Caenorhabditis elegans: one gene and its partners. The protein of the gene in region 1 purifies or fractionates together with the protein of each later gene. This does not show direct contact. Each region holds a gene or a part of one and is shown in the gene's direction. Other genes may lie near its edges.

Evidence for each region. The genes of interacting proteins can lie anywhere in the genome.
Region 2: the proteins of F55H2.7 (region 1) and ZK1236.5 fractionate together in Caenorhabditis elegans (co-fractionation; one large-scale study listed by BioGRID). This does not show direct contact.
Region 3: the proteins of F55H2.7 (region 1) and EGAP2.1 fractionate together in Caenorhabditis elegans (co-fractionation; one large-scale study listed by BioGRID). This does not show direct contact.

What each region holds. Positions count from the first base shown.
Region 1 is NC_003281.10:9,512,828-9,517,886, reverse strand, and holds F55H2.7 (uncharacterized protein), read left to right. Parts: upstream 1-1,638; 5' UTR 1,639-1,639; coding exon 1,640-1,723; intron 1,724-1,768; coding exon 1,769-1,960; intron 1,961-2,010; coding exon 2,011-2,064; intron 2,065-2,353; coding exon 2,354-2,709; intron 2,710-2,761; coding exon 2,762-2,885; intron 2,886-3,025; coding exon 3,026-3,293; intron 3,294-3,298; exon of another isoform or gene 3,299-3,337; coding exon of another isoform or gene 3,338-3,487; intron 3,488-3,978; coding exon of another isoform or gene 3,979-3,996; exon of another isoform or gene 3,997-4,018; intron 4,019-4,247; coding exon 4,248-4,309; 3' UTR 4,310-4,543; downstream 4,544-5,059. Other genes in the region: clu-1 (Clustered mitochondria protein homolog), read left to right, coding at 1-376, 425-595; F55H2.8 (FIP (Fungus-Induced Protein) Related), read right to left, coding at 3,338-3,487, 3,979-3,996.
Region 2 is NC_003281.10:8,431,101-8,433,950, reverse strand, and holds ZK1236.5 (uncharacterized protein), read left to right. Parts: upstream 1-1,736; coding exon 1,737-1,840; intron 1,841-1,891; coding exon 1,892-2,003; intron 2,004-2,049; coding exon 2,050-2,280; 3' UTR 2,281-2,343; downstream 2,344-2,850. Other genes in the region: ZK1236.9 (TPR_REGION domain-containing protein), read left to right, coding at 550-641, 691-791, 844-946, 996-1,101, 1,148-1,323; ZK1236.1 (Translation factor GUF1 homolog, mitochondrial), read right to left, coding at 2,428-2,757, 2,807-2,850.
Region 3 is NC_003280.10:5,229,411-5,233,782, forward strand, and holds EGAP2.1 (DDE_Tnp_ISL3 domain-containing protein), read left to right. Parts: upstream 1-2,000; 5' UTR 2,001-2,021; coding exon 2,022-2,357; intron 2,358-2,552; coding exon 2,553-2,680; intron 2,681-2,983; coding exon 2,984-3,183; intron 3,184-3,338; coding exon 3,339-3,489; intron 3,490-3,540; coding exon 3,541-3,751; 3' UTR 3,752-3,865; downstream 3,866-4,372. Other genes in the region: EGAP2.2 (Ribosome biogenesis GTPase RsgA), read left to right, coding at 633-641, 802-894; pho-1 (Intestinal acid phosphatase), read right to left, coding at 3,893-3,933, 4,011-4,074, 4,123-4,372.

The sequences.
Region 1 (5,059 bases):
AGAGAAACATCCTGTAATGGCTCAAATTGATGCCAACATTGGACTCATTTTGTTCACTGTTCAAGAGTTCGACACAGCTTTGAAGTACTTGCAATCGGCTGATGCTATCACAAAAACTATTGGAGAACCGAGAAAGCTGAAGACTGGATTGATTTCCAATTTGATTGCCCGAACACATGCGGCTCGTGGAGATTTCCGAGCTGCTCTAGTTGCTGAAAAGGAAACATTCGCTATTTATTCCGAACTCTATGGACCAAATCACCCAAGAGTCAACGAATCGAGTGAATATCTTCGCACGCTTACTCAACAAGCTGTTACATTCCAAAAGAAAATGTTGAAACTTGACAATAGTACAAACATTACTGAATTGTTCCAGGTAATATTAAATTTTCACAATAGCAAAAAAATCGCAATATTTTTATAGGCTCAACCTCCAACAGTTACCTCTCTATTTGATACCTTAAACATCATCAACGGAATACTGATCATTGGTGTTCCTGGATTGTCTTCTCTCGGAAAACAGCAAAATGGGACGACTGAAGAGAGCAAGACTACAGATGTTGCTGCTCAGCTTGACAATGAGACTCTCGATTAGAATTGATTAGATATCACCCAATTTTTTGGAAGTTGTTTATCAAATTTCAAAAAATTTAGAATTACTTGTTCGTTGATTATTTTAGTTTTTAATAGTGTATAGCATATAGATCAGTTTTTGTTTCTTTTTGTTTTGTTTTTTTAGGTGTAGATATCAGTTTAGTAAATAACTTTTTTTTTGTTAGAAAACCGTGACCGCATTTTCGTTGCTTTTTTGAAATAATTATATGAGATAATTGCACCGTTTCTTTCTCTGATAACCAAAAACATTTGCTCAATTCCAAAAATCAGCCTGAAATTTTCAAATTTGCTCAGGAGCATTTCCCTCATTTCCCACAACTTAATCAATCACATGTTCCCGTTTTCATTGTCTTCTCCATCTATCTGTAACCCATTTCCTTCATACATGTTATGACTGTCGTTCTGACACGAGTGTCCATCGAAAAACTAATCATTTAAAAAATATACATCTCTGATAATCCGAGTACACTCCATCTTTTGTTACACTGATGCGTTTGTTCTCCTCGTTACCTGTTTTTTTGCCTTAGGATTCAAAGCCTTGTAGTTTAGTATGAATTTTCGTTTTTTTTTAAATTTTCCAATCAACTGTTATAAAATGTTTATTGTTTTGTTCTTTCTCCAATAATAAAATCTGAAAATCTATTTTTTGTTTCAGTTCTAAAATTTTCAGAAAACTTAAAGTTTCATTCTTTAAATATTTTGAAATATCTTGTGAACAAAAATATGAATTTGTTAATCAAGAGTATCGCTTTTTCCAATTTGTCAGAAAAAAAATATATAACTTCCATTATTTAAGAAAAAAAGTTGCAAAAACTGAAAATTGTGTCCATTTTATTTTTTTAGCAGTAGAAAATTATATTTTCTTGTTTTTGCATTTTTTTTGTTAAATGTTTTAAACCATAAAAAATTTTATCCGATTTTGTTCATGTTGATGAACAAAAAAATTATAAAAATGTAATTGTCCTCTAAAAATGAGAGACTTTAAAGCTTTTTCTCTCTTATAATTAAATTTGTTTTTCATAGAATGGCGAGTGATTGGAGACGACAATCAACGAGTAGAGGAATTCCGAATGAGGGACAAAATGATGAAAAAGGAAAACCGCTCATTGTGAGAGAATATTTAAAGTAAAAAAAACAAAATTATGAATTTCAGGGAAGATCATTTCTGCTCGAAATTGAAAATCGTATTCTACGAACAAACGTGGCAGAAGGATTACATATTTCTGGTGCTACAATAATTGATTCATTTGATGATGCTTCCCCACAATGTGTCATCTCCGATCACCCGATGGCTCAAAAATTAGAAAAAGCAAAGAAAGATGACCCTCTTTTTAAAAATGAAAAGGTACACTTTTACTGGTAAAATTAAAAATAAATAAATTAATCAAATTTCAGATGCTCAAAATAATGCCCGCACTTCTTCGACAAGCAGTGAACAGAAATATTAAAGTAAGAAAATCGCCAAAAAACCCAAAAAAATTAAAAATTTGGTTGACAAATTTGAAAATTACTGTTCTTTCAGAAATTAACAGCAAAAAATTATATAAATTAAGTGGGCAAACAAATTTCTCAAAAAAATGGAATAAGACAAGTTGTTTGATGAGACATATTGGAAATAACGCTTTTTTTCAAAAAAAAAAAATCATAAAATAAAATGTTCAATTTTTAGCAACTAAAAAACTAAATTTTGAAATTTTTCGACTTCCCCCTAATTCTTTAAATTTTCCAATATTTTCAGGTCAGAACACCGGAAAGATTTTTAAATCAAATGAATACATGGCTGGATCGCCAAGGAAAAACGACATCAGCAACTACATCAAATAGTACAATTCGTGGAAAACCATCATTCGGCCGGGAGAATAGTGCAAAAATTGAACGAACGACTCCGAGACTTGTGCCAAGAATGCCACGTGTCAGCAGTGATCAGACGTCGAGTCGGCCGAAGGAAGAACGATGTTTTCTAAGAATTGATGTTCCTGGAAAAAGACCAGAAATTCGGAATGTCTCGAAAGAATCATTTTCAATTGTTTATTCTGGAAGAGACACAGGATTTTCAATTTTTAAAGCAGCAGAATCGTCACTTGTGGAAAGAAGGTATTTAGTAAATTGTTTTTCTTCTATTTATATGTAAATGCAATTATTTCAGGCAACGAGAATACGATTCATTTTTGAAGGGAAAATATGAGCCATCTAAGAAGACTTTCAAATTTGATGAACGAGATAATTATTGTCAGTTCTGCCAAAAAACGATTCTTGGAGACAGGAAAGATGTAAGAATAGAGAAATTCGAAATTTTGAGGAGATTTTATAAAATCGAAATATTCAGAAATTCAGAAATTCCACAAGAGAGAAAAAAAACAAAAAATCGTGAATTTATAGAAAATTGAACATTTAAAACTTGATTTTTCAGCACGAAAGAACCGATGAACATCGCAATAAGGCTCGAACTCAAGGAATTACTCAAACAATGGAAAGAATTGTTTTGAATGCTCGATTACGAGCCGAACGTCAGGAAGCGGCTTTGAAAAGAAATCAAAGAAAATCACGAGAAAGTGTGATGTTTGTAGAAAAGTCGAAACGAGCAAATGTCGAGTACGAATATGGAGAAAATGAAATTAAAGCGAATTGGCTTATGCTGAAAGCAAATACAGTGGAAAAGACGACTGAGAAAACATCGAGTAAGATTATTTTATTTTCTTGAAGAAAAATTGCTACAATTGATTCAATTAGGGTAATAATGGCAAACTCCGTGATAACAAATATGATCAAAATCTTTACGAGGTTTGCATTGTGAAGGAACTTTACATCCTTTTCCAGTACTTTGTGCCATTATTTCATTGATAAAGAGCATTGAAATAAGAACAACCAACATCTGAAATTGATTTAATAATAAGAACTATTTTTTATAGATTAAGGCTAATGTTTTTTAACTCAAAATTACCAGAAAAAAATCGGATTTCATAACGAAACTTGAAAAATTTCTCAAAAATTTTTATTGCGTTCAAAATTTCGAAAATATGTTAATTTTAGCTAAAATTCCGGATTTTCTTTTTTTGTGTTACAATGGCCGGGAATTTTTTTATACATTTATTATTGTTCTATTTGCACATTTTTCGATTTTTAGTTCCTTTCGGTATAATTAAATCCGAAAGGTATTCAAATTTAAAAATTCTAAATTAACAAAAATATTGTGAGACATTTAAAAAAAATTAAATTAAAAAAAAAACCTAAATTCCGGCTGCTGCGACACGGAAAGATTGTCCAAAATTGATGTTTTAGCTAGAATTAGGACGTTTTTTTTTTCGAAATTTTAAATTAACCTTTTGGGGTCACCTTTAGGTAAAATAATTTTTTTAAACTTACGAAAGATACAATTCTCATTATTGCCAAGTTGAAGTTTTCAAGTGAATAATTTGAAAATATTGAACATTTCCTCTGAATTTATACCATCCATAATCACATGTTTTATGTCTTAGGCGCACTGAAAAACATGAAATAAATCATAAGGAACTTCCTCATTCTCTCAGTCAACCTTTAGTTAATTGAATAAATTGGCCTTAATTCGAGTGTTTGTTTTGATATATATGTTTTGAATAACTAAAAGTAAAAGATACAAAGATCACAAATTCCAGTTCTTTCTCCACGTCGACGACAGAAAAGAATGCGGTCACTTTCAAGTCAAGGAGACATTTAATTTGTCATATAACATTCTCATTATTACTATTCGATCTCTTAAAATGTGTATTATCTCACTACAATATGTAACTGTATATTTGTATCAATTCTAGTACTGGTTATTCGTTTATTTCTCCCCGATTTTATAATACTTATTTATTTTACGGTTATTTAACTTTCAGCCCAATTTTTTGTTTCATTTGCATTTTAACTTCGGTTTTAACAGGTGCATAAATATTTATTTCTGAATTTATATAGGCTCGATGCATTCAGATAGAAATTTGATTAGGCAATTAGTGAACATGGAGAGATGAGATCGTAAAATTGTAGAAATAAATAAATACGGGGGATATGGGACAACGGGGCAAGGATAGGCGACAATTCTACAAAAATTACTTATTGCGCCATGTTTTTCCAACATTATCTAAAAAAAACAATAATTTCTGCTAAAAAGTTACCAAAAAGGGCCTGAAAATTCTCGATTGCGGATTACCGAATTAACGAGTTTTGTTTTCCGGCAATTGGCAACTTTTAGGCCATTTTTTATCAGTTTTTAGATGAAATTATTGTAAATTCCAGATAAATCATGTGATTCTCTATAGTGCGACACAAATTTTTGATGAAAATGTTGGAACAACATGGTGCAATAGGTAATTTTGTAGAATCGCCACCCATTCCTGGTCACTGGGAGCAAGGGTGTCGTCGAAAAATTTTCGATTTTCCGAAAACAAAATGTTCAAAAAACTAAACAGACATTAAAAAATTATTC
Region 2 (2,850 bases), 1.1 Mb from region 1:
ATTTCTCTATATTTCTAGCGCCGACAGCCGAATGAGTGTTTCGGCTGTCGGCTGGCGCCGCCAGCCGAAAATGCTCTATTTCTCGGCAGTCGGCTGGCGCTGCCAGCCGACTGAGCTTTATGGTTGGAGTTTTGTCGCTGAACTGTATTTTTGCACGTTGTTTTCTTAAAGTGTTTCGGAGCGATTAAGCATACTTTTAGTACAAAAACAATTATAGCAAACTATTTAATCACTTTATCCAACAAAAATAACCACATCGGCTTACTTTTTCCATATATAAAACTTGCAACTAGTGTTCAAAAATATCAAAAATCAGTTAATTTGTTTAAAACCGCCAGCCGAAAACTCTAACACAAAGGTCGTCTGTCGGCTGGTGCTACCAGCCAAAAAAGTCCAATTTTTCGGCTGTCGGCTGGCTGCGCCAGCCGACAGCCGCACGTACCTGGTAGGGACTACAAATTTTGAATAAAATAATAGTTCCGAAAAATCAAGCTTTCTTAAAATCTTTCTAACTTTACTCAATTTTCTCTCTAGACTATTAATTTCCAGATTCCACAATGAACGAACCCAACAATCGATTTGTTGGATCAAGACCAGCGACATCAGGATCATTCAATAAAGAAGGAACTCCGACAACTCCAGTATGTTTCTGTGACAGCTTTTATAAACAGGCAAAAGAAAACATTTCAGAATCTATTTTCATTGTCTAATTCGGAAGAGCGAATTTCTCAATTCACACTGCCAAACTATGTAGAACAGCCAACTTCATCGATAAATCAACAAACTGGAAGGTACAGTTTTTGGTTTTCAATAGACTTTGGAAATTATTTTTTCTTGTTTCAGAGTGGTGAAAAAAGCTCAAGGAGAGGTTGACCTGAGTGGAGAAGAGCTTATGCCATTTCTATATAAAGCTGCTGAAAGGCTCCGAGAGATGAAGGATAAACAGGTTTTAAATAAATAAATTAAATGAATATATACAAATCATCTACTTTCAGACAAAAGCTGAAGGCATTAAGTTAAGATTTGGCTCTCTGGCAAAATTAATCAGTGAAGAAAAATTATCAGATGAACTTATAAAAAGTCTGAATTATGTAGTTGATTGTAAGAATACACAAGATTATTTTCAAATTAATAAATTATTTTTCAGCTCTTGAATTTGAGAAATATCAAGAAGCGATGAACTACTATGATCAATTTTGCAAGAAAATTCCAAATGAAATAGCAAAAAGTTGGTATTGGCTGTCATCTCTCAAAATGTTGATAAATGAATTAAATGTTTCGAGGAGAGGCGGATCTGCTGGATCACATCTTAGGAGCTTATAGAACATTTATTCGTTTGTCTTTTAAATTTATGTAAATAATGCCATTTTCCACTAATTATTTCCCAAATTCCTCAACTTGTTGCCGTATTTAACTTTTATTTCGAATATTTTAGGCCAGAAAGGGTATTTGTTATTTCGCATGGTTTCTCAGAACAATAATAAATGTGAATCAGGTTTCAATCATATTTCGAACTTTATTTGATCTATGTTTTACATCAACTTTTAGTTTCTTTGGCAAAATTCCAAAATATTTCCAACGACGCTCCGAAGTAACGACAGCGCGCTCTCTTTATCGTAAATCTACATCTCTGTTTTATTCATTTTTGCTCCGAATATGTATTTTCGGTGATTTCTTTTAGATTACTGTGTTTTTCTTGTTAATTTTGTCTAAATTTACTGATTTTATGGTTTTAGATGCAATTATCCCGCGCTCTATATCGAAATCTCAACACACGTCATTGGAATCGTCGTATTTGGGAGGTCGGATACCGAGGACCGATTCTTCCTCAACAAAAAGCGTATGTTCTTAATGAATTTTAATAATTTCAAATCGAAAACTTGATTTTCAGCACCGGACGTCCAGACTATCCAGTTTCCGCAAATCGCGTCAATATTCTACGGGAGAGGCTTGCCAGAGAGCAAATTGTGATGAATCTTCTCACTCGCCCGTATTCGACAGCGGTTAGTTATATTGATAGTTAAATATCACTAATAATTTAAATTATAGTATGCAGAACTGACGTATCTGGAAACTGAAAAGAATGTGAAATCGTTGGAAGAACTGCGAGCAAAAGAATACAAAAAGCTTGATGAACAGCGAATGCCCGGAAAACCAAAAAATACGGAAGGTTCCAAGTCGACTATCAGGAAGAAAGCTAATGTTGGAAATCTTCTTCATACCCACACAACTGTTGAAGATTCTTTAGCTGGATTGGCGGCAAGAAAACGATGGGACTGAGCGAATCTTTTAATTGTTGTAATTATAGTTTTGTTGTAGTGAACAATAAAAACCTTTAAAATTGTTATATTAAAACAAAAAAAACAAAAATGAAAACAAGAATAAACAATTAACCTACACACTCTAGTATCTAAATATTTAAAAACACTATCTCTTAAGAACATTTAGGAACGCTTCTTTAGGAATCTGCACATTTCCAACCATTTTCATCCGCTCTTTTCCTTTCTTCTGATGACTGAGTTTCTTATTGAGTCGTTCCATTCCTCCACCACCAAAGTTTCCCTTCAATAGCTGCGAGAAGTCTCGTTTCATTGGCTGGATAACAATTTGAGATAATGCTTTCGTTGAGGAACCAATGCAAGCTTTAATTGTAACTTCAAATTGCTGTCGTGGAATTTCTCGTTTCAGACGTTGAACTAAGATCTTTGCACGATCTCTCGCCATTGCCGCTGGTATGATTTGCGAGAATTCACTGACCTTAAATTAAATTTTAATGATAAAATTTTAAAACAAAACCAATTCCCACCTCTTTACTGTTGATAAGAATTGTAAGTTTCACCAGCCGAGTAT
Region 3 (4,372 bases), on another chromosome or scaffold:
TTTTTGTTATATTATACTTTTTAAAAACTATCTGGACACCATCTTACTCGCTTCTACGAGATTCTTTTAAAAACGAACATTTTCTCAATCTTCTGCTCCTGTTGTTTAGGAAATCTTTACACTGCACACAGAAAAAAATCCCTTAATCTTTTCAGTGTCCCAACCAAGAACTGACTACACCCTAAATAGTTTATTAAAGGCAGAGTACTCGGATGATGTGCTCCACGATTGATCAGACTTAAACGTCTCAGGACATACACCTTCGCTCGTCGTATACAAAGCCGAAGCCAATCAGAAGGTACCGCACAGCACATTTTCCATCGAGAACTCTGTCTGGACTTATAAGTTTTCGCTCGTTCTTTTTTGTTTTGACCTACCGCGTACTCGCGCGCAATCTCATTTTGATAACCCGTCGTCACCGCCCCATCAGGCCCCGCCCTATTCCAGCTAGAATAAGAGCCGAAGTTTTCTTCATTTTTGACCTTTTCACTTTATCCTTTTTGTTTTGTCTTTTTGTATCGCTCCCCTGTTACATGAATTGTTAGAATTTTGTTAGTATCGATATAAATATTCATTACTGCGCAGACAAAGAAAAAATGCAAAGCAGAGGAACTGGTGGAAGAACCTAACAGATGAAGCAGGTACAGTGAAAACTTAAAGTTTGCAATAAATGTGCAGCACGTTCATGCACAAATTTTATAATTCATTTTATTTTGGAGTCATGTAACAGTTAGATATATTTTTCAAGATTAATAAATTTAAACGCTCTTCTGATGTTTATAAAATAAAATGGTCTTTCAGGCTCACAACGCGAAAAGAAGAGCAAATGCTGAGCAAGATCGTTTGGAGCTTGCTGAAGCCGCAGCTATCGAGCCGCAGCTATCTTTACAATAAATTTGTTGTGCGTGCATGCGAAAATTTTATAATTTAAGGATGCCGAGCCAGCAAAGGAGAATGATTCTGATGAGGAAGAAGTTTCCGACGAGGAGAGCGCGATCACTGACGAGACTTCTGTATACTGGTGGAATCGTGACGATCCCTACTACTCGGATGATGATTCAGCACCTCTTCAAATTATTTATGTGCAATGAGGTGGCACACACAATCAAATTTTTTTTTGATAGTGTAGCTTGTAGCTCGAAGAAACGACATTCTAGTCTATGATACTTCTATATCACATATCACTCCTCCATCACTTCTCGCTTATTTTATTCCACTGCATCCCTTTTCATTTTGTCCCAGTTTTTATGATTAAACCCTCCCTGTGAATTTTTAACCTTGAAAACCTAAACTCGTTTAAAATTGCATATGATTAAGATTCTGATATGTTTTTTAGTGCATTTTCCTTGTAAAATAAATATATTTCCAGCAAATCGGTTATAAATGTTCATTTTTTTCCCACTGAAAATCTTGTCTACCTGCCTGCGAGGCGACATACGTGTCGTCTGAGATACGTTCTTCTATTATATTAAATAAATCCTCAAATATTTATAAGTTTATTGCAAAAAACGACTACTGTGGAAACCCCAAGTATACGGAGATCACGGTAAAAATTTGGAAGGCATAAAATGGGCACGAAGAAATTTCTGCCTTCTATTGAAACCTGAACGGTTTTATTTACAAGAGGTTTACAAATTTGAGAATCCACAAACACAATGTTTCAAAAACAAATTCAATTTATTTATATATAGGTACAGTAACCTAGAAACCAGTTTGATTCTCAAAATTTGATGGACTCTCGAGAACAGCAAACTACATATAATACTCTCGTTTTGGATCAATAGTGTAAAAGAAAAGAGAAAAGGAGAGGGGGGTGTCACCCCCCTTGCCCCCCCCCTGTCTCTTCCTACTCTTTCTCTAACATTCTTTTCCTCTTCTCTCTATCTACACCCCCCCCCCCATCTCTTCATTCATACCAACCCTTTCCCTCGTTTTTCTTACAAATATCGATTCAGATATATTTATATACTCGTCGATTTAATGTTAATTTTCTAATCAACTTCCAAATTTCAGTATTCGTCATGGAATCCGACGGACTTGAGGAGTTTGATTTCTCGCAGCCACTTCATTATGCGCTCTCCCAACTGAATGCAGATCTCTATGCAGGAATTGAGCAGGAACCCCATTTTGAGACTGTTCACTTTCCCAAACCAGCATCTTTATCTGCAATGGCAGAGGAGGATGATGACGAACGGCCACCGACTACAAATGAGATTATTGATGATCTCGTGGAAAAGTTTGATAATTATCCAAAAATCGTGACTACTATGATGCAGAGAGGTTTGCTCAAAAAACGGCAACAGTGCAGAAAGTGTGATCGAATGATGCATTTGAGAAGGAGAAAGAATTGCTATGAGGTTGGAGATTTTTATACTATATTTAAAATTGATCAGTCAGCTTTACCTACGTGTCTAAAAAGCAGACTTAACTTGTCTTGATTGTCACCTACGCCTAGAAGAAATGTAGAGTAGGCAGCGCAAAATGCCTTGTAGGCATGCATTTTTGAGCCTCTAGTGAAGATTTTAATTTCTAATTGTTGTTCTTTTTTTCAGTGGCGCTGCCGAACAAAGGATAAGAGAGGGGACTGCTCGTCTTGCTCAATAAAATTTGGAAGTTGGTTCGAGTATACCAAGTTATCCTTCAAAACTATTTTCAGTTTTTTGATCATGCACTGTAAAAAGTAAGTTAAAGCTGGTTTTTATTTTATATTTGTGCAAAAGTGAGAAATAAAACTCTGACCAATCAGAATAGTAGGACATGTGCCTTGTTGATTAGTTGGTGGTTTTTTTTCTCATTTCGCGAAAATTCAAAGTCAATAAAAACAATGTTGAATAAAGTTAGATTATAATTAAATTTTGAATAAAACTCAACTTTGAAAACATTGTAGTTGAAAGCTTGAATAATTTTTAACAATTTAATTGAAAAAATATTTAAAAAGTTTCAACACGTATCTTGGTATCAAAAAGTTCAATTAATTTTTCAGCTGTTCCACAAGTCACATGGCCAATGAGCTCAAATTATCAACGCATACAGTGAATGAAACTCGGAAAGTTGTCTATGATCTGACAGATAAAATCGCATCAAAGTATCCCAGAATTGGACAAAATCAGGGAATGGTGTACATAGAAGTGATTCGAATTGAGCCAAAAAAGGCAAACGACTTCATGTACACCATTTTGGCAGGTGAGTATGAGTTTTTAAAACATCTCAAAGATCCCCTACTCTTTCGTCACAGCCTTGGTTGAGTACGTTGCCTTTCATTTAAGAACTCTTTGTAGGCACGTTGGTAGGCATGTTGTTCTTGCTCGTATACATTAAAACTGTAACAATTGTTTCAGGTCAAGAAGCAAACTCCAACAACTGTTTCGCTGTTGTGATGTCTGATGAGATGCCAAGTACAATTGAAAAAGTTAAAATGGAAAAAGTCAATTCACATTCATCAGTTTCAATGATCAAGACTGTTAATGAAAATTTCACCGCTTATGCAAGGTTGGTAACATCTTTAAATTTCTATTCTTTAAATTTTCTTCTTTTTTTCAGTCAAAGCGCAACATTCTTCGACGAGTCAAAAGTCTATTCAAACCCAAGTGATATGTTCTTCACAAATCTTCGCAAAAATCATCCGGAAAGTGCACTCAATTCTGAGCAAGCATTCCAAAGTTGGTTCAATGATCAAGTGGTGAGAAAAACCGAAGGAAAGCGAATGCTCGAAAAATGTGTGGAGGAGCTCAGGACATACACGACATCATAATTTAATTTTATTACGGGGGGAATTTATTTTTGAAATGGTTATGTATAACCATGTACGATCTTACGTGTATTTATCTCACTGGAACGAAGCGAATAAATTACAATTTAATGCTAATAATTTACAAATTTAAGAACAAAACAATTAAAACAGTCCTAGGAAGTTGTTGTTGATGGCAAGAATTGCTGTAATTAAATTAAAAATTAGAATTATACTTTGATTCTTTTCTAATAGAAAAAGTGAGCTTTTAGGTAAAGTTTACCTGCAATAAAGAGCATTGAGACTGTAGCAAAGCTGGAACTCTTGTTCAAATCGGTTAAGCACCACTGGAAAAGTTAACATGATTAAATTCAAAAACAAAAAAAAAACAATACCTGATCGATTGGTTGATCTGGCTTGATAGTATTGGCAAAGTTTCTGAGAATATCTAAATCACAGTATGAACTATTTTGAGGACATCCTTGAATTCCCATAGTCACATCTTTGAATCCACTTCCGTCTTGCTCGTGATATACCATTTTGAAGTATGGTTTCTTGTCGACACTATCAATGTAAAGCTCTAAAAGGACTGCAGCAGAATACAATGGATATCCACCAGACGGTTTTACAGCGTATTCTTCAATT